4 linked regions of the Canis lupus familiaris genome follow. The protein of the gene in region 4 purifies or fractionates together with the protein of the main gene of each other region. This does not show direct contact. Links are inferred from orthologs where the notes say so. Each region holds a gene or a part of one and is shown on either strand. Other genes may lie near its edges.

Region 1 (4,804 bases), on a different chromosome or scaffold from region 4:
AGATAGAATAGATGGATCAACCTATTGAACTTGTGCTATGTGCCCACTCCTGGGCTAGGTAAATGAGAAGGACAGGTGACTCTGGGGGCTTGTCATCTCATTTTGAATGACTGTGATGTGAGCTGGGAGAGAGGATACGTAGAGTCATGGGGGACCAGGTCCAAGGTTGGCAGCTGTAGCATTCTGGCATGGCTGGGTCCTCTCTCTCAGCCAACAGCTACAGACACTGACCCAAGGACACCCTGGTGATCCCGCGACGCCCCTTGATCTTCTCCATTTTAGAAGTCAGAGGAGCCCAGGTTCCTCCACCCGACTTCTCTGCCTCAGCAGCTGCCCTCTCAGCAGCCGATGTCAAAGGAGCAGGATGAGCAAGAGGAACTAGATTTCCTGTTTGATGAGGAGATGGAGCAGATGGATGGGCGGAAGAACACCTTCACCGCCTGGTCTGACGAGGACTCTGACTATGAGATTGATGACCGGGATGTGAACAAGATCCTCATTGTCACCCAGACGCCACCTTACATGCGCCGGCACCCTGGGGGGGACCGCACAGGCAACCACACCTCACGTGCCAAGATGAGTGCAGAGCTGGCCAAGGTCATTAACGATGGGCTCTTCTACTACGAGCAGGACCTGTGGACAGAGAAGTTCGAACCTGAGTATTCCCAGATCAAGGTGAGGCTGGGACATAGCCTTGGGGGTGGAGCCTGGGGTGTTTGCAACACGTGGAAAAGAGGAAGGCTAATTTGGGCACAGAGCCTTAGTATCCTTGTGTTTGAAAAGGGAGTAGTAATGGACACCATGCTGGGGCATTAAGTGAGAAGAGATGTAGGGGGAGAGGTGAGCACTGTGCCCCCTGAATGCCCATGTTTAATGTCCTAACAATCAGCCAGACACACTTAAAAGCTTACCTTTAAAATAATAGCTTTTGGGCAGCTCAGGTGGCTCAGCGGTTTGGCACGACCTTCGGCCCGGGGCGTGATCCTGGGGACCCGGGATCGAGTCCCGCGTCGAGCTCCCTGCAAGGCGCCTGCTTCTCCCTTTGCCTGTGTCTCTGCCTCTCTCTCTCTCCTTTCTGTGTATTCTCATGAATAAATAAAAATATTTTTAAAATAAATAAATACAATAAAGCTTCTGGGGCACCTGGGTAGCTCAGAGGATGAGTGTCTGCCTTTGACTCGGGTCGTGATCTCAGGGTCCTGGGATTGAGTCCCACATTGGGCTCCCTTTGGGGAGCCTCCTTCTACCTCTGCCTGTGTCTCTGCCTTTCTCTATGTCTCTCATGAATAAATAAAATCTTTAAAAAAATAAAATAATAGCTTTTGGGTGCCTGTGTGGCATAATTGGTTAAGCGGCTGCCTTCAGCTCCGGTCATGATCCTGGGGGCCTAGAATTGAGTCCCATGTTGGGCTCCCTGCTCAATGAGGAGTCGGCTTCTCCCTCTACCTCTACCTCTTTGTCTTGCTTGAGCTCTTTCTCTCACTTTCTCTCTCAAATAAAGAAAATCTTTATGCATATATATATATATATATATATATATATTTATATATATATATATAAACTAAAAAATCACTGCTGCCTGGAAACAGTCAAAACTTACAGTTTTTACAGAGTAGCTTTGTGAGGTGAGCCTGTGTAAGTAGTGAGCAGCAGGGTGTTCGGTGGAGGTGAAGACAGTGTCAGGAGGAGAATCGGGTCTGCAGGAAGCTGCCCAGGTAACTGGGGTTGGGGAATGGTGATGAGGTAGCTGAGAGCCTGGGGACCAGATTTCCATGTATGTGGATGTGGGAGCTGCCCCCTGCAACTTCCTGCACTTCTTGATTCCTAAACAGGCTGGGGCAGTCTTCTTACTAACATCATCTCTCCGCCCATCTTGTTTCCTCTGCAGCAAGAAGTCGAGAACTTCAAGAAGGTCAACATGATCAGCCGGGAGCAGTTTGACACACTAACCCCAGAGCCCCCCGTGGATCCCAACCAGGAGGTCCCTCCTGGGCCACCCCGCTTCCAGCAAGGTGAGAGACAGGTGGTATCTGGGACCCTGGGTGGGTGTGGGATCCTGGGTGGGTGGGAGAGTACAACCCTCAGACAGGGGCCTCCCAGGTATAGTCAGTCACAGGCCTACCACTGCTCACTGACCTGCTCTCCCTCTGCAGTCCCCACTGATGCCCTGGCCAACAAATTGTTTGGTGCTCCTGAGCCTTCTACCATTGCCCGTTCTCTACCAACCACTGTCCCAGAGTCACCAAACTACCGCAATGCCAGGACCCCCCGTACTCCCCGGACACCACAGCTCAAAGATTCAAGTCAGACATCACGGTTTTATCCAGTAGTGAAAGAAGGACGGACGCTAGATGCCAAGGTGAGGTGCTCCTGCTGAGTGGCTGAGAGTCTTGGGCTCACTTAAATGCATTCCAGTGCTTTACTGTCCTCCCTAGCCTAAGCCAAGGAACTGCCAAATCCCAGAACTGCTCTTTGTTCTTAGGCTGGTGGGCCCACCTGGGATGGAGTGGCCACATCTGAAAAAGGGACTGGGTATGGCAGTGGTGGCCCCGTGTCTCCATGATAAGGCCCAAGGAGGATCAACCAGGGGTGGGTCCTTAGGCTCCCAAGCCACGATGTCCTCACCTGTGAGATAGGCATACCAGTTTCTGGCTCACAGCCGTGGACTTCATATGTGAGAGACTAGATATGAAAATGCTTTTTAAATTGTGAAGTAACGCATACATGAGGGGATCTTAGTTCAACAAATGCTTGGTGCTCCTCTGAGTTCCATGAGTACAATTAATAACAAATTCTGGACTGACCTTTGCAGATGCCTCGGAAAAGGAAGACAAGACACAGCTCAAACCCACCCCTGGAGAGTCATGTGGGCTGGGTGATGGATTCCCGAGAGCACAGGCCCCGGACTGCTTCCATCAGGTGCCAGCACAGTGGAGAGATGATGGCAGGGTGGGCGGGAAAGCCAGGCAGTTGATGGGACCAAGAAGAAGGAATCTCTTTCGTCTGTAAATTAAAGAAAATTGAAGAAAGGGACTCTTAACCTAAATCGGAAAATTTGGAGCAGTCTAGAGAATGTAATTCAGGGCCTTGGAAGGTTTTCCCCAAGGAAAAGTGGCACAGACTGAGAATAGGCGTGGTTTTAAAGAAAAACATAGATGGGCTACCCCATAATAGCTAATCAGAGAAAGTTAAATGTGAACTCGGGATGATTAAATGCTTAAAAGCTCAGGTTTGGACACTGTGCTAATCTGGGATGTTAAAGGGTCCATGACCAGGATAAGTCTCCCAGGCTCTGTGAGCCTCAGTGACTGCTTTGTAAAAACCCACCAAAGATTGATGCAAAGAGTGATTTGGCCTGAAGGCTGTATGTTAAGGGCCTACCATGGTATTTAGGTCTCTTTGTTGCCCTAGGAGAGGCTAGATCTTGGCTGATAGGAAGGGACCTGAGGGACCCCTCCTCACCTGATGGGCAGCTGCTCCAGAGAACCTGATGACACTCTCTCTCTCCTGGCCTTTAGCTCCAGCCCCTCAGAAGGGACACCTGCAGTTGGCAGCTATGGCTGTACCCCTCAGTCTCTGCCCAAGTTTCAGCATCCTTCCCATGAGCTGCTTAAGGAAAATGGCTTCACACAACACGTCTACCACAAGTATCGTAGGCGCTGCCTTAACGGTAAGAAGCAGAGGGGCCTCACCTCTGAGGTCCAGACTGTAAGGGCTGGTGGAGCAAGTGGTTCTGCTTTCTCTGACCTTAGGGCAAAAAGAATAGGAGTTAGACTCAGGCAAGTAGTTTTTGAATACAGAAGGCTGAAAGAATCTAATAATCAGAATATTTTTGTTCTTTGATCTTCTATTGATAATAAAAAATAGAAAAGTTTACCTATTTCTAGCATGACTGCCAAGTCAGCTATTGTCCACTGTGGTCCACTGTTGATCATAAAAGAGTATGCATGGGGCAGCATAGATTTCTCTAGAAACAGGGGTGGCTTAACCATGGCCTCTGGACCAAATCCAGCCAGCTTCCTATTTTTGTACAGCCCTTGAGCAAGGAAGAGTTTTACATTTCTAAGGGGTTATGAAGGGAAAAAAGAAAAACTTATGACTGAGACCATATGTAGCTTATGAAACCTAAAATACTCTGGTCTTTTTTTTTTTTTTTTATAAACTTTATTATTTTTTTTTAAATTTTTATTTATTTATGATAGTCACAGAATGAGAGAGAGGCACAGATACACAGGCAGAGGGAGAAGCAGGCTCCATGCACCGGGAGCCCGATGTGGGATTCGATCCCAGGTCTCCAGGATCGCGCCCTGGGCCAAAGGCAGGCGCCAAACCGCTGCGCCACCCAGGGATCCCTACTCTGGTCTTTTATAGAAAAAAGTTTGCTGGCCCCTGCTCTTAGAAGATGGTGTAAGGAAAGAACTCTCTAGATAATCTCATATATCTCTTTTTTATCACAAAATGAGATGTCTTTTCACTGTAGGTTTCTGTCCGGTTGGCTGTAAAGATGCTCGGAAGCAGTCTCAGTGCTCCCTTGTAGTTGTTACTGTTCATCGCTCTCCAGTCCTTTTCAGTTAGCAGCACATGGCTGTTAAATGCCTCGCTCATCTGCCTTACTTCCCTGTTTGTGTGTGATGACTGGTTTACTAGGATAGAATTCACATACCTTACAGTTGACCCATTCAAAGTGTGTGGTACAGTAGCTTTCAGTACATTCAGGAGTTGTGCATCTATCCCCAGAATCGATACTAGAACATGTTCATTACCACAGGGAGAAACCCAGTGCCCCTTACTGGTCATTTCCCAT
Region 2 (4,804 bases), on a different chromosome or scaffold from region 4:
CTACAACACCAAAAAAAAAAAGGATTTAAAAATGGGCAGAAAATCAGAACAGACAGTTCTCTAAAGATATACAGATGACCAACAGACACATGAAAACAGGGACGCCTGGGTGGCTCAACGGTTGAGCGTCTGCCTTCGGCTCAGGTTGTGATCCTGGGGGTCCTGGGATCAAGTCCCACATCAGGCTTCCTGCATGGAGCCTGCTTCTCCCTCTGCCGGTGTCTCTGCCTCTCTCTCTTTCTCTCATAAACAAAATCTTGGGGGGAAAAAAAAGCCTTAAAAAAAAAATGGACTGACTTCAACAACCATTTAATTTAAAAAAAAAAAAAAAAAAAAGGTTGAATGGCCAATAAACCTTTGAAAAGATGTTCAGGGCAGCCCCGGTGGTCCAGCGGTTTAGCGCCGCCTTCAGCCTGGGATGTGACCCTGGAGACCCTGGGATCGAGTCCCACATCAGGCTCCCTGCACGGAGCCTGCTTCCCCCCGCTGCCTGTGTCTCTGCCCCCTCCCCTCTCTGTCATGAATAAATAAAATCTTTAAAAAAAAAGTTCAACCTCACTGGTGGGGGTGTGGGGATCAGTCAAAACACAAGACACTATTACATACCCTTCAGACTGACAAAAATTAAGCCTGAAATCATCAGATGCAGAGAATGTCAGGTAATTTGCACACTGCTAATGGGAATGAAACATGGCACAGCAACTCTGGAAAACAATCTGCCACTAGCTAGTGAAGTTTTACATTTGCTTATCTCCCTAGAAAAAATATTTTCACATGTACTACCAGAATGAACATAGCAACATTATGTCCATTAATAGTAAAATGGGGGGGATCCCTGGGTGGCTCAGCGGTTTGGCGCCCGCTTTCGGCTCAGATCATGATCCTGGAGGCCCAGGATCGAGTCCCGCATCGGGCTCTCTGCATGGAGCCTGCTTCTCCCTCTGCCTGTATCTTTGCCTCTCTCTCTGTGTCTCTCATGAGTAAGTGAGTGAAGTCTTAAAAAAGAAAAAAAAAAGTAAAATGGATGGAGAACTTGATATTCCATTGTATGAATGTCACAACAGCAATGAAAATCAACCACTACAATTCATCAGTATGGATTCACTTTACAATTAACACCCAAAAGAACACAACATGTTTCCACATATATCTCAAGTTGAAGAACATCCAAAGTTAAACTACAGGCATATATAAAGGTGAGGGCGATAAAGTAAATCCTGATTATCACAAAAATGAGGTTAGTGATGGGGGAGAAGGGGAGCAGCTAGGAAGAGAAACACACAAGGAGACTCTAGGTCCTGAAACATATTTCTTAACCTAGATGATGCTGCTCCAGGGTCACTTTATAATTCCTTAATACATGCAGATTTTATGAAACTACATATTTCAGATTTTGTAATTTTTTTAAGATTGATTGATTTATGATAGAGAGAGAGAGGCAGAGACACAGGAGGAGGGAGAAGCAGGCTCCATGCCGGGAGCCCGACGTGAGACTCGATCCCGGGACTCCAGGATCGCGCCCTGGGCCAAAGGCAGGTGCTAAACTGCTGAGCCACGCAGGGATCCCCAGATTTTGTAATTTTTAAAAAAGATCTTATTTATTTATTTGTGAGAGACACAGAGAGAGACAGAGAGACATAGGCAGAGGGAGACAGATTTTGTAATTTTGAAAAGACAGGGCTAAATTCCTGATTCCTTAAAGAGCTATCAGTGTTAATAAAAAAAAAAACAAACAAACATGGATTCAGTGGGAAAACTGTCAGACATGAAAGATGCCTTGTATCTATAACATGTTCAACTTCATTCATTTAATAGGAAAAATTCTAACTAAAATCATCCCAAGATGCTGTTTTCTCCTATTGCTAGCTAAAGTACAGAAAATGAACATACTCTTGACAAAAATATAGGAAAAATGTTTAAATTGGCACAATGTGTAGTAAAATAACAAGTACAGGTTATCTGGAATTTTTAATAAAGCCTCTGAAATATTGACATTGTTAATAGGGTAAAAAAAAAATGCCCCTTGTAGTTACTTTTGTATAACTTGTCTGCTTGTTTATTTAAAGTTAAAAAAAATGCAACTGCATCCTCCATAAATACACCTCTGGTCCATAGATCCTACTGCAAGACATGAATTGCAGGCCTCTGCAAAGGTGAATTTGTGTGTAGCCAGCTCCAGAGAAGATAAGTGTAGCACTTTTTTTCCCCCTGATATTTGTAAAAATGCATGGATTAGGACATCTTCAATCTGGGTAGGAGACAGCAAGTTTAGCCATTTTGCCAAGCTTTCTCGAGACTAACTCTAGCATATATTCCTTTCTGGGCTTGATATACTTTAAAACTTTCTCACAGTCGAACTCAAGTCATCCGAAGTTGCAAGGGAGATCAGACCTGATTCTCACGTTATTGAATACAAAGCAAAAGCCCTCAGAATATATATATCCCTTCTGAAGGTAAAATGACTGAAACTGCCTGTCACACCTCTGTACCCAGCTCTCATACAATCTTTCAAGAAATAATCATATTTTATTTCCGTAAGTAGATTATATCTAGCACTAGTGAATTAGCATTTCTGCATACCTTCAACCTTAAAAGTCTTAAAAAGATTTCTCGATTTCAGAAAATAAACATTGTTCTAATGTGATACTCAGGAGTTAAAAAGTGAGGGTCGGAATGTTCCAAGGAAAAAGCAGTTTATTGAACGATGTCACCTTGTATAAGAAACCAAATGTCACAGACGCATTAAGTCTAGTAAGAAGGATGGGGGACTGTCAAAATTAATACTGCAGCTCACTCAGTCACAAGGTGAAGGGTTCACAAATTTGCCCATATATTAGAATTTCCCTAATCAATCACTCTCAGTGCAGTCTAGCAAAAGGTGCCTCTTCTATCTTCCCTACTCAGAGAGGCTCTGACCATCCAGGTCAAGAAAGCTCCTATTTTCTATCACAACAGGCTTCTGCTTCAAGAGATCCCATTCATTTATATGCGTCCCACAGAAGGCGCCAAAGCAATCTTGAAACAGCAGGACAGGGGAACTTTCACACATCCTGACTTCAAAACTTACTACAAAGCTACTGTAAGCAAATGTGTGAAGTGAAATACAGACAGACAAAGCAGTGATCACTGAATAGAGAACCCTGAAATAAACCCTTCCATATAAGGTAGAATGATTTTCAACAAGGGTGCCAAGAGAAACCATGTGGGCTATTCAGGGTCCCCTAGGATTCCGTATGAATTTTACAATGGGTTTTTCCATGTCTGCAAAACATATTGTTCAGATTTTAATAGAAATTGCATTGAATCTGCAGATCACTTTTTTTTTTAAACCTACTAAATTTTATCCAGCATTCTTCTTAAATTGAAAAAGCAATCAATTCAAGTGAAAACTCAGAGTGAATTTATATACCACATTAGCAAGGATCCAGTACTGAGGGTACATTTCTCATGGAAGTTATGAAGCTTTTAGCACAATTACAAAGACCTTCATTTTAAGTGGGGACCCTTAAAAAAAAAAAAAAAAAAAAAAAAGGGCCTAATGCTACTACACAAGAATACCCAAACCACTGATTGCTCCTTACCAGCCAAGGCTAGCTGAAGCCCACTAATATCCACAGACTGGCCCATGTTTCCAACGTCCATCAATGCAATCTGTCGAGGTGTCTTCTTGAAGAGTTCTCTTGGGGGTGCCAGCATTAGCTGGGAAAGAAAAAACTTTTCTGGTGGAGTTATAGGAGGTAAAAATCCTGTAAACAAAAATGTATAACAATTTCTCCAATGGTTATTTTTAAAAATTAACTTGACTCTGGTAAAATTAGCATTTGCTGCTTGCCATTTCCACTCACATATTTTTAAAGACAAAATTATTTAAGTTTCAGTTAACCAAATATATACATTTATGAAAATGCAATTAAATATACCACTTGAAATTCTGTGATTTGTGGCAATATCAAAAATGAAACTTAAATTTTTAACTATTAAAAGCTCTGTATCCAACATGCAAAGGCTAAAGCTTAAACATGCAAGCAAAAACAAATAAAAAAAGCTAATGCTCAGAAATGCTTTTTCTCCCTTGCTTCTGTGAGCAACTGTACAAGTTGAAGAGACCAGGAGCATCAGCAGCACAGGTACACATGTCACACCTGCTTCAGTGCACAGTACAGCCACAAAAATCCCCCAGTGCTGACTGCTGTTCCTGTCTGTCACGTTCCGTTGCTCAACAAGCCTCATCTGTCCCACAGCAGCACTGTTGCCAGACTCTGTTCCCCTCATCTTCATCTCCCCTCCTTTCTTGTCTAGACTCCAGGACAGCCTTCCTCACTTTCCCAGCTCCGAGTTTGGACTCCTGCCCACCTATCACCCACAGTCCACACTCCCACTTACCACTTAAGTTATATTTCTAGGTACGAATCTCACATTACTTAACCTGTTTACACAGAATTAAACCCCAAATTCTGCACCATGAGATCATAATCTAGTTCTGACCCACTTTCCTAATCTCATCTCTCGAACTCCCCTCCAACCCACACATCCTACACTCCAGTTACACAAAATCTCCCAGGTTCTCAGACTGCTGATTTCAGAACATCCAATATACCCAGTTCTTTAAAAACACCTGACAGGGCCACACCCTTCCCTCATACACCCCATATCCCACCCCTAACCAAGATCCAGCAAAAACCTCACTCCCTCTAAGAACCTCTCCAGCCACACAGGTGGTTGGTCGTCTGTGCCACTGGGCATTTCGTATGTGACCTCTAGTACAACCCTTACTCCACTGGGTTATGGCTACATTTATGTCTCC
Region 3 (4,804 bases), on a different chromosome or scaffold from region 4:
TTAATCTAATTATAAAAAAATTTTATCAATGTCCTCCAACCAGAGACCATCAAGAACGCTCCTGCAATGTGACAAATTGGGTTTATTACTCATTACAGTGAGGGAAAATGCATGCCACTGTAATCATGGGATATTTCAGTAAGAGTGTTAGAAAAGACTTTTAGGATTTGGGCTTCTGTCAGGTGGTTTTAGGGAGGGATTAAGGAAGCAGGGCCTTGTGCAGAATTGGATGCTGTTGGGAAGCTGGGGTAATTCTGTGACAGGGTATCTTAATAAGTCTTAACTAGAATGAGAGAAGAATAGAGTGAGAATAAAGCTATAAAGAAGCAGCATTCACTTACATCAGCCAAGCTAGAAGGATGTTTGATCATTTTTGTGGTTAGAATAATGTTTATGTTTTTGTCTATGTTCAGTCATGATGACAGAGTGGTCTTGTCTGGTGATGAAGTATGAAACTGTTTATACTCAACAACAGATGAATGTTAGAACTTAGCTGTGAGTGCCAGGTCAGCTCCCAGCAACACTTAAGGTGTAACTGATAATACCAGATGAGCGCCCAAAAGCTAGGGAGCTTCTGCATGTCTTTTCAGAAACTCAGATCTCCCAGTAAAACTTTGTTGGTCTGCAATTTTTGTGTTGTTTTAATCATTGGAGTTGATGAACACACTGCTGTTAAGCATCTCTGCTTTTGCATATAGTATTCAATCTACCTCTACCGTCTATTCAGTTAATTATTTTGCTGCTTTACCTACTGTACCTTGTACATTTGTGGTAATTACCGTACTGTTTTCTAGATGTAAGCTCTGCAAGGCAAGGGGTTAGTGTCCTAGTCTACCTTTTCTCTCCCACAGCACACCTACCATAACACAAACATCCAGTGATGTGGTTGGTTGTTGAGTTGGACTGAATTTAGAGTTTTAATTTCTTTACCGTTTCATAGTGACTTGATATTCAGATTTTGTTCTTAGCTTCCCAGTTTGTTTTAAAATTAAAGTGATATATCATAGTATCATTTCCTCAATATTTTTAATGCAAATACATAAATGTGCTTCTGTGGGGAGAGGCAGGTTGAATGGTGAATATGTGAATATTTGAGTGTACCTAGATACCCTATTTAGTAAAGGTATACTTAACCCGTAATTAGAATTGAAGTATTTTTTCCTACAAAAATTTATAGTGATCATTTCTTAGATGATAAGGAGTGACATTAGAGATGTGATACTGTTTTACAGGAATAAGTGGGTATCATGCAATTTTTGATGATGTATAGATTATAGAGAGAGAACTATTTTACCCCAAGAAATGAAGAGGGTTTTGATGTTTAGACAGACTTTGTCTCAGAGAAATGATTGCAAAGCATGATGCATTTTCCATTCTTTTTAACCAGTTCCTTGGTTTTAACACTAGCATACTGTGAGCATAGTTTCACATACCCCTTGAGGAACATGAATTTATATTTTCCCCTCCCTTGGGAAGAGAATATTTGGTGCACTTATCATTTATTACTGATACTTAAAGTCATTAAGTTTAAGATAAGAAAGTCATTAAGTTTATTACAGTTTTATGCTTCTAAAAAGTGAAGTTCTTCATAGTTAAAAGGTAATTTGTATTTGAACATGAATGTGTAGAGCATTATCTATAATAGGATTATTTGACTTGAACTGAAAATTACATATTTATTCTAAGAATTTGTGAATTGTGGTTTTAATCATTTAGTAAATAATGAATCTTAAAACTATTTTACAGGACACCGAGTTTCCAGGTGTGGTTGCAAGACCTATTGGAGAATTCAGGAGCAATGCTGACTATCAGTACCAACTATTGCGATGTAATGTAGACTTGTTAAAGATAATTCAGCTAGGACTGACATTTATGAATGAGCAAGGAGAATATCCTCCAGGAACTTCAACTTGGCAGTTTAATTTTAAATTTAATTTGACGTAAGTGGGAAATAAATATAACCCAAACTTTTTTAGCTTAATTTTAAGAATTGATTTCCCTCACGGTGAAAAATGCTAACTGAATTTGGCACAGTTATCCTAGAGATACTTAAAACCTAATTTCAGAAGTTTAGATTTCTTCTTACGGGATGAAAGAACTAGGATAAAGAAGACTTTATATTCAAATACTTTGAATTTTGAAGATGTTGTTTGAAAAGTATGACTGCCACTTTTTTTGAAACCTGAAAAACTTTGGGTATTGAAATCACTTCTTGATAGAAAAAATAACCTTACGTTAGTTTTACTTTCAAACTTTGTTTGCAGTTTGAAATATATATATCTTTGTTGTAGTAATTATCCTTGTGAAGAGATTAATATATCTGACTCCAGTTTATGAGTAGATTACATGTCAGAGGCAGTAAGGCATTTCTTGGAAACTTGGGTGGATTTTCCTTTCAAGTCAATGTTACATAATAGTTACGTTTCCAATCAGCCCACAAAACCTCTTGTAACTTACATATATAGGAGAGGTAATGGTATCCTTGAACTTTATTTCTTTCAGATACAGTTCAGAATCTGAATTCTAAGTTAAGCTCATGGTTGATAGTTTAGGGAAGTTTAGAGTGTTTTTAAGTGAGGGCAGATTGTTTACAAACTGACTCTAAGGTGGGGAAATACTTAATATATTCTAAGTTACAATATTGCAGTGTCCTTTTATTTGACAGCTTGTACTTGTGTAATATCTTATATCTGGTTTAAAAAAATAGTAAAAGAAGCTGTGGCACAGTTAGCAGTAGTGCCAATGTAAGAACCTCAATAATGTGATATTTAGCATATAAGATCTAAAAAGCCAGGGCAGATGGTTTTAGAGAATAGTGTTATAGTACTGTGGCTTATAATTACATTGTATTTAGCCTCATTCTCTGTTTTACTTTGTTGGATTTCATAATGTATACTAGAATCTTGTAAAGATTCTGTACTCTCTATGTAAACTGGTAATAACCTTCTATAAGTACTACAGTACTGAAATACTGAAAAATGTCTTTTATCCTTTTCTCAAAAGAGAACCATTTTTAAAATTAGTTCTTCACCATTTCATTTGTTCCATGTTATTTTTTTCCCAAGTTGATCATTAGAACAATGTTTTTAAACTAAGATACTGTTGTGATATAAATACATGAGTAAAAGGGGACCCATCCATGTCTCCATTCTGGTAAAATTGACATTTTCCTTTGCTAGAAACATCTTTGTTATAGTAACAACTGCCTTATTATTATAATCTTTGAAAGACATTTTTTCTTATACAGAGAGGGCTACTTGTTACCAAGCTTTGCTACTATTTATACTAATGTTAATGTCCAAGAAGTTGTTTAAGGAGAAGGATATAGTAGAATGCACTATTTAAGTAGAAATGATTAATTGGAAGATAAAACTGGGACTACCTAATGTAGAGACAGTACGATGAATAGAATCTAGGTATTTTGAAGAAAGATGAAAATTGACTTTTTTCTTGAGTGCCCGGAATGTGTCAGCAACTGTGTTAGGCACCAGGGATAAATGTTGAGAAAAGTTGGTCATGGTTTATAACTTAATGTTCCTGTAACTTTTCTGTCTGCTTTCTATTGCCAAAGTCCAAAAATTAGAATTGTTAGATAACGATGAATGTATAGGAGTTCTCTCCAAACTGAATTTGGAATTGATAATGTAAAATGAAAATTGGAGTAGACTATTGAGGAGCTGTGCAAATTAAAACTATCAAAGGAGATGAGAACAAATTTCTAAAACATCAGTTTGATGATTGTAATAATTCTTAGTGTTTGAGGGAATCATTTTGATAGTGTAATAAAGGTTATAGGACATTGTGGGTTCAGTGGTAACTGAAAGGAAGCTGATAATCATTTAAGCAAAATGGCAGAGGAAAGAAATGGAGAATCATAAGTAGAAAGGACAGAATCAAACAGTGGGTGGTTTTGATTTTGTTTTTTGGGTCACGGACAGGCATTTGAAGGCTAAAGGGCACCTAAGTGTCAGGTATGGAGTTGCAGGCTATTTGTGTTGTCTTTCATATAGCCTTTGCAGATTTTTTGAGCACCTTATGTATTCTTGGTTTGAGTTCATTAAATATTAAGCTAGTTGACCATTCATACATTTGTGACAGTCTGTATTCTGGTTTGCCTTTTCTCATGATTTTTAGCAAAAACAAATATATAGCGTGTGTGTTTTAAAATGTAAATGTAAAATGTACAAACTATAAAATGTTTAACTTGTGTTTAAAAATGTGAATTTGTATAGTAGGCTGAGCTTATACTTATAGGTAGGTCGAAAAGTTGGGACGCCTGGTTGGCTCAGTTGATAGAGCATGCGACTCGATCTTGGGGTTGTGAGTTTAAGCCCCACGTTGGATGTGGAGCCTACTTGAAAAAAAAGTGAAAACATATTTCTTGAATTTAACATACTATTAAAGTTTGGTTGGTAATTTAACATACTATTAAAGTATGGTAGTAAAGTTAGGTTGGTTTCTGTTTTTAGGATATTATTTGAAATGAGCAGCCTTGTATATATCTGCTTTTTGGGAAAACCTTTTTTAGAGATTTGTACATGGCTTTCACTCCTGTTGGGTTATTATACCTGAATATTTTGCCACCTTAAACTTCAGTAGTTGATTAGTATTAAGAGCAGTCACTGCTGTTCTGAACAGATTGTTCTAATCAGTAAGTCAATCCCTACACCTGCAGCAATCCTTACATTTTGGACACAACAGTGTTTTCACTACTTTTTTGAGATTTGCATCCTCTAATATATTCCTGCATTTACTGAGATTTTTTTTTCCATTTACTAAGATTTTTGAGGGTGGGGAATGATTT
Region 4 (4,804 bases):
AATATATATAAATTTTTATTTAAATAAAAAAGAAAGCTCGAATCCCAAGCCAATATGTGTATATCAAATCCTTGACCAGCCAGGTCTGTAGGGCATAATCAAATTCAATGTGAAATAGTATATAAACACGGTGCCTTGACTGGGCAAATTAAATAATCGCTACTCAAAAGAGTGTTCTGTTTGGACTCTCCTACTGGTAGGCAATGGCAGGACTGTATTTCCCTCCCCCCTCCCCCCATTTGTTTCAGTTAACAGTATGATGGACATAGAGCTTACACTGAGGTTGTTATGACCTCAGCAGGAGTTAAGGGTTAAGAAAATAAGAAACAAGAAAAATACAAACTCTTGCTTTTACCCAACCAAAGCAATGCAGTAACTTATTACATAACCAGTGCTTTCTGTTGTAGTAGTATAATCCAGAAAGGGAAATTTTTAAAAAATCAGGCAAACATAGGAATGAGGAGGGTGACTATATCAAATAATCCCCCCTAAACATGTTTTATAGGGTCTTAGCTCAGTATAGACACATGGCATCAGAATATGTGCAGCAGAACTAAATTTTAAAATTTCTTATTCTTTTCAACATTTTCATCAAGAATCTCTTCACTATGAAAACTAACTTTTAGGTACTTAACTGCCTACTTGCGCCGATGATTCTGAACAACAACTATTAATTTATAAACTATCCTTAAGAACTGGGCAGTTTGTATTTGACTCATCTATTTGAAAACCAGGGGCTTTAATTTTATTTTATACTTTTGGGTTCTGACAGTAAAACAGAACAAAAACATCAACAGAAATAATGTGACTGCTCATTTTCAATTCAAGTGTTGCAGTTTTAAAACATGGTTGATTTTCCCAGTGGTTTTTGTTTTCTGGGTTTTTAAAAAACATTTTATGATTTTAACAAAAGTTTAATTTGAAAAGCACAACTCCAAATTTCCAACCATCAGCTCAGTACAGGTAATATACCAACCATGTATTTTTCAGTACTAACTAATAAATTACAGTTCATTCTTAAAATAATCTCCATTTAAAACTAATCGAACAGCCTACAATATTGGCCTGGCTTTCTGATTACATCAAGAGAATGAAATGGATCCATAATATGGAAATGAGGACTTCAAAAAATTAATTAGGAATTATCTCTCTGAAAAAGTGGAAGTAAAAACAAAAACAAGAAACAAAACCCACCTGAACAACAAAAAGTTTTAGTGCCATATGAAAAACACACACATGAAGCCAGAAACCAGAAAGGGAAAGAAAATTATGACTTTCAAATAAGAGCTCTTGGAAAAGTTGGTTTGCTGCACATTTTCTAATAACTAGTCTACTACTGTCTCTTTGTTTCTCAAGCACCACAGAATTCTCAGACAGTCCGGTGCTTTCTGTCTGTTTTAACTTATGGGGTTGTGAAAGTTGGGAAGGATCGGGGATAAGGAATTATACACTGGGTATGTAATAATACCAAAATACAAGAAAAACCTACTTCATTAAGATCATACAATTAATCAAACAGAGTGTATATATAATATCTTCTTTTTTTTTAAAGCCCTGGATCCAAGGCGTCCAAAGTTATTAAAATAAAGTTCATTCACAGAACAAAAACAAATTTAATCTGAATTGCTTGCAGATACTGCTAATTTTCTTTTTCTTTTTCTTTTTTTTTAAATTAAAAAATGCATTAATGTGAACTATGTGCAGGGTTTGTTTTTAGTAGTGGTATTTGTGCACATTGCCTCCGGTACTTTTCTTGGATTTCTCTGACCACTCTCAGAGAAAAAGTTTAGAAGTTATCTGTTCTCCTACCCCTATGCCCCACAAATTGATCAGGAGCAAAAGATAAAAGTCGAACTCTTCATAATTTAGGGAGCAGAAGTGGATGTGACTCCTCCGGCTCTCTGGGAGTCATTGTTGTCACCTCCTCCCTCGGGATCCTCTGACAGGTTCAGAGAGCTGGTCTTGTTTGACAGGAGGCTGATATTCTCTTGTGTCAAAGCTGAGCCATTTGGTACATCACTATTAATTAAAAAAACAACAACAATATTAAATAAGGAGAGATAAAAATGATTAGTAGAATAAAATCAATAGGGTCTTTCTTTTAGGAGTATGGAAAAATACACAAGTAGCTTTTAAATTTTAGTTTACAGTTCTATACCCATGCTTTATTATAGAAGTGGGCAAACGAAGGCTAATCAGTGCCTATTTTTCTAAGTACAGTTTTACTGAAACACAGCCTGCCATTTGTTTATGTATTGTCTATGACTGCTTTCACACTACAATGGCAGAATTGAGCATTTCCAGAGACTGTAAGACCCATAGTTTTAAATACTTACTAACAGGACTTTAATAAGAAAAAGTTCTGACCCCTTTAAGCTTTAGCAGGCTTACTCGTATGAGAAATTATTCTGAACTTAGGACAAATGCATGGATTTAAACAGCTAAAACTTAAGCCTGAAACCAACAGAGCATTAGAAATTATTGTTGTACAATCGTCAGGAAGGTAACTCAGGACTCTGTAGTAAATGACTTCACAATAACCTAGGGAAATAATTAAAGCTATGCAAACAAAGAATTGACTGTGATACGGTTTTTTGCGGGGTTGTTTAATCATAGCTGACATATATCCTTTCCACACCTCTAGATGATGTGGGATAGGCCGAATTAAAAACTAGGGGGATAGGGTGGAAGGTGGATTTGAAAGAGGCTACATATCCACACACTTTAAAAGGACTGGAAAGGTCTACACCAAAATGTTGAATTGGTTTTAAATAAAATAAAAAATAGGAGAAAGAAGAAATGGAACCAGAAAAACTCATTTGTTATATATTAACAATCTTGGATCTGTAAATAAGTTTCATGACTCAGAAAAACAAGTTTTAGAACTAAATTTATGTGAAAATATTTTCTCAATGTATACAGAATGATTTTTTAAAAAAGATATTTTATTTATTTGCGAGAGAGAAGAGAGGGCACAAGCAGAATGTAGAGGCAGAGAGAGAGGGAGGGAGAAGCAGACTCTCAGCTGAGCAGGGAGCCCAATGCAGGGCTTGATCCCAGGACCCCAGGATCATGACATGAGCTGAAGGCAGACGCTTAACTGACTGAGCCACCCAGGCACACCTGAATAATGGTATTTAAAAAAAAAAAATCATATTTATGAGGGAACTTCTGTCAGGATTGGATAATATAAGACTATGAAATGTCCCTTTCTTTACCTGAATGTCAATGTAAGGTCCTCAGCTGAAACCTTATTTTGTGGTTCTGGTTGTCCATTTTCTGCTTGTTTACTTGTATTCAATTTGCTTTTCATGTCCAGAGTACACTGGTTCTCCTTTGGAAGAGAAGGAAGTAAATTAAATTATCTTCTATTTAACAGTGCTAATGAAATAGACCAAATATAGATAATACAAATTGATAATCCAAAATCGTATTTTTATATGATATTTATAAATCATTTTTATAAAATGACCAAAGAAATGGGCAGCCTAAAAGAGAGACATACATGATAATAAGAGAGTACATCTGCTCACTATCCAAGCTAGAAAACAAGGGAGAGAATGCCCCAAGTTAGAAAAACTGATGACTTAGAAAAGGTAAGCAAAAATATAATCACTACCTATAACATACTTATTGAAAGCAAAAAAATGAAATACCTCATTTATTTGCTTGGAAAGAACTTATAACTATTTAACAAAAGAGTCAATTACCATGCAACCTAGGGGAATGGTTCACTCCCCCCAAATCCAAAATTTCCCAAAACCAGTATTTGTGCATTAGGAGGCATTTCCACGGATACAGTTCCTCAGGAAGGAATGTGCAGACTGCATTTCCCTCGTAATAAAAAAACAGGTCTTCAATAACTAAAGGGCTATAAAAACTGACTGCTATTTGTGAACACATAGTTTTTTAAGATCATGGTATTGCAAAATCATAACATCATCCCCTCTCAGCTTCCCTAATCAGTATGTTTAACAATAATTTAATAATACCCAATTAACTGCCTTGTTTTCCCTGCAAGTTTTTCATAATGCAGAATCCTAAGACAAAGAACACTCACATCAAAAGGGAATGAGAGGAGGAATGAATAAAAAAGGGAGGCAGCCCATCCTCATGATAATTCTAGGTATTAACCACTCACTGGAGTGCCTTAGGGGTGATGATTCTAGAGCTCTAGAGCTGCAAGTTCTAAGACATCACTACACAAAAGCTTTCCTTTCACCTCTTCTAGTTCCCACCCCTTTCCCACCAAACACTCACCAGACTCAGTTCCCGGGTTCTCTTCCCGATTTCCCTTTCCACCTGGTGCAGTTCCAAACTCAATTGCTCACTTGAAATCATCCCAGGCCATTTTGGAGTTGGTGGTGGGGGCTGTGACTGGCCTGCCAGGGTGTTGACCTCCCTCTGCAACACCAGCCTGTTACTAACAGCCTAGTGCATAAAGCCAAGCACATACACAACTCAACACATTTCACACCATGCACGGGATGACCAGGCCCATTCTCAGACCACTGCCTAAAGTAGCTTATCAGGAAGATATGTGCAATAGAAATGATGCAACTATAAGGCACTGTCTCTTTTGAGTGCCATCTGAATTAAAAAAGAAAAACTAGGTGATTTAAACTTAGTAAACAGTAATTTAACATTAGGTAGAAGTTGCTCTTACTTTATTTGAAAGAGAAGTATAAATGTACATCTTTCCCCCTCTTTCTTAAATTCAATTTTCTGAAGTAAATCCTGCGATTTATTTCAATGAAACCTCAGTAATGGCAAGGACTTTTAACCATACTGAGTTAAATATGTG

What was found. The genes of interacting proteins can lie anywhere in the genome.
Region 1: the proteins of RC3H1 (region 4) and LARP1 purify together in Homo sapiens (affinity purification with mass spectrometry, with the first as the bait; 3 studies listed by BioGRID). This does not show direct contact. The link is inferred for Canis lupus familiaris from reciprocal best matches to the Homo sapiens genes RC3H1 and LARP1.
Region 2: the proteins of RC3H1 (region 4) and CNOT11 purify together in Homo sapiens (affinity purification with mass spectrometry, with the first as the bait; 4 studies listed by BioGRID). This does not show direct contact. The link is inferred for Canis lupus familiaris from reciprocal best matches to the Homo sapiens genes RC3H1 and CNOT11.
Region 3: the proteins of RC3H1 (region 4) and CNOT7 purify together in Homo sapiens (affinity purification with mass spectrometry; 5 studies listed by BioGRID, with this or other methods). This does not show direct contact. The link is inferred for Canis lupus familiaris from reciprocal best matches to the Homo sapiens genes RC3H1 and CNOT7.

What each region holds. Positions count from the first base shown.
Region 1 is NC_049225.1:55,867,778-55,872,581, reverse strand, and holds part of LARP1 (la-related protein 1), read left to right. Parts: intron 1-282; coding exon 283-675; intron 676-1,888; coding exon 1,889-2,012; intron 2,013-2,153; coding exon 2,154-2,359; intron 2,360-2,812; coding exon 2,813-2,919; intron 2,920-3,518; coding exon 3,519-3,670; intron 3,671-4,804. UniProt on the Homo sapiens protein: RNA-binding protein that regulates the translation of specific target mRNA species downstream of the mTORC1 complex, in function of growth signals and nutrient availability.
Region 2 is NC_049231.1:42,715,796-42,720,599, forward strand, and holds part of CNOT11 (CCR4-NOT transcription complex subunit 11), read right to left. Parts: intron 3,747-4,804; coding exon 3,582-3,746; intron 1-3,581. UniProt on the Homo sapiens protein: Component of the CCR4-NOT complex which is one of the major cellular mRNA deadenylases and is linked to various cellular processes including bulk mRNA degradation, miRNA-mediated repression, translational repression during translational initiation and general transcription regulation.
Region 3 is NC_049237.1:41,448,674-41,453,477, reverse strand, and holds part of CNOT7 (CCR4-NOT transcription complex subunit 7), read left to right. Parts: intron 1-1,746; coding exon 1,747-1,940; intron 1,941-4,804. UniProt on the Homo sapiens protein: Has 3'-5' poly(A) exoribonuclease activity for synthetic poly(A) RNA substrate. Its function seems to be partially redundant with that of CNOT8.
Region 4 is NC_049228.1:25,199,418-25,204,221, reverse strand, and holds part of RC3H1 (roquin-1), read right to left. Parts: intron 4,432-4,804; coding exon 4,261-4,431; intron 3,335-4,260; coding exon 3,219-3,334; intron 2,020-3,218; coding exon 1,866-2,019; 3' UTR 1-1,865. UniProt on the Homo sapiens protein: Post-transcriptional repressor of mRNAs containing a conserved stem loop motif, called constitutive decay element (CDE), which is often located in the 3'-UTR, as in HMGXB3, ICOS, IER3, NFKBID, NFKBIZ, PPP1R10, TNF, TNFRSF4 and in many more mRNAs.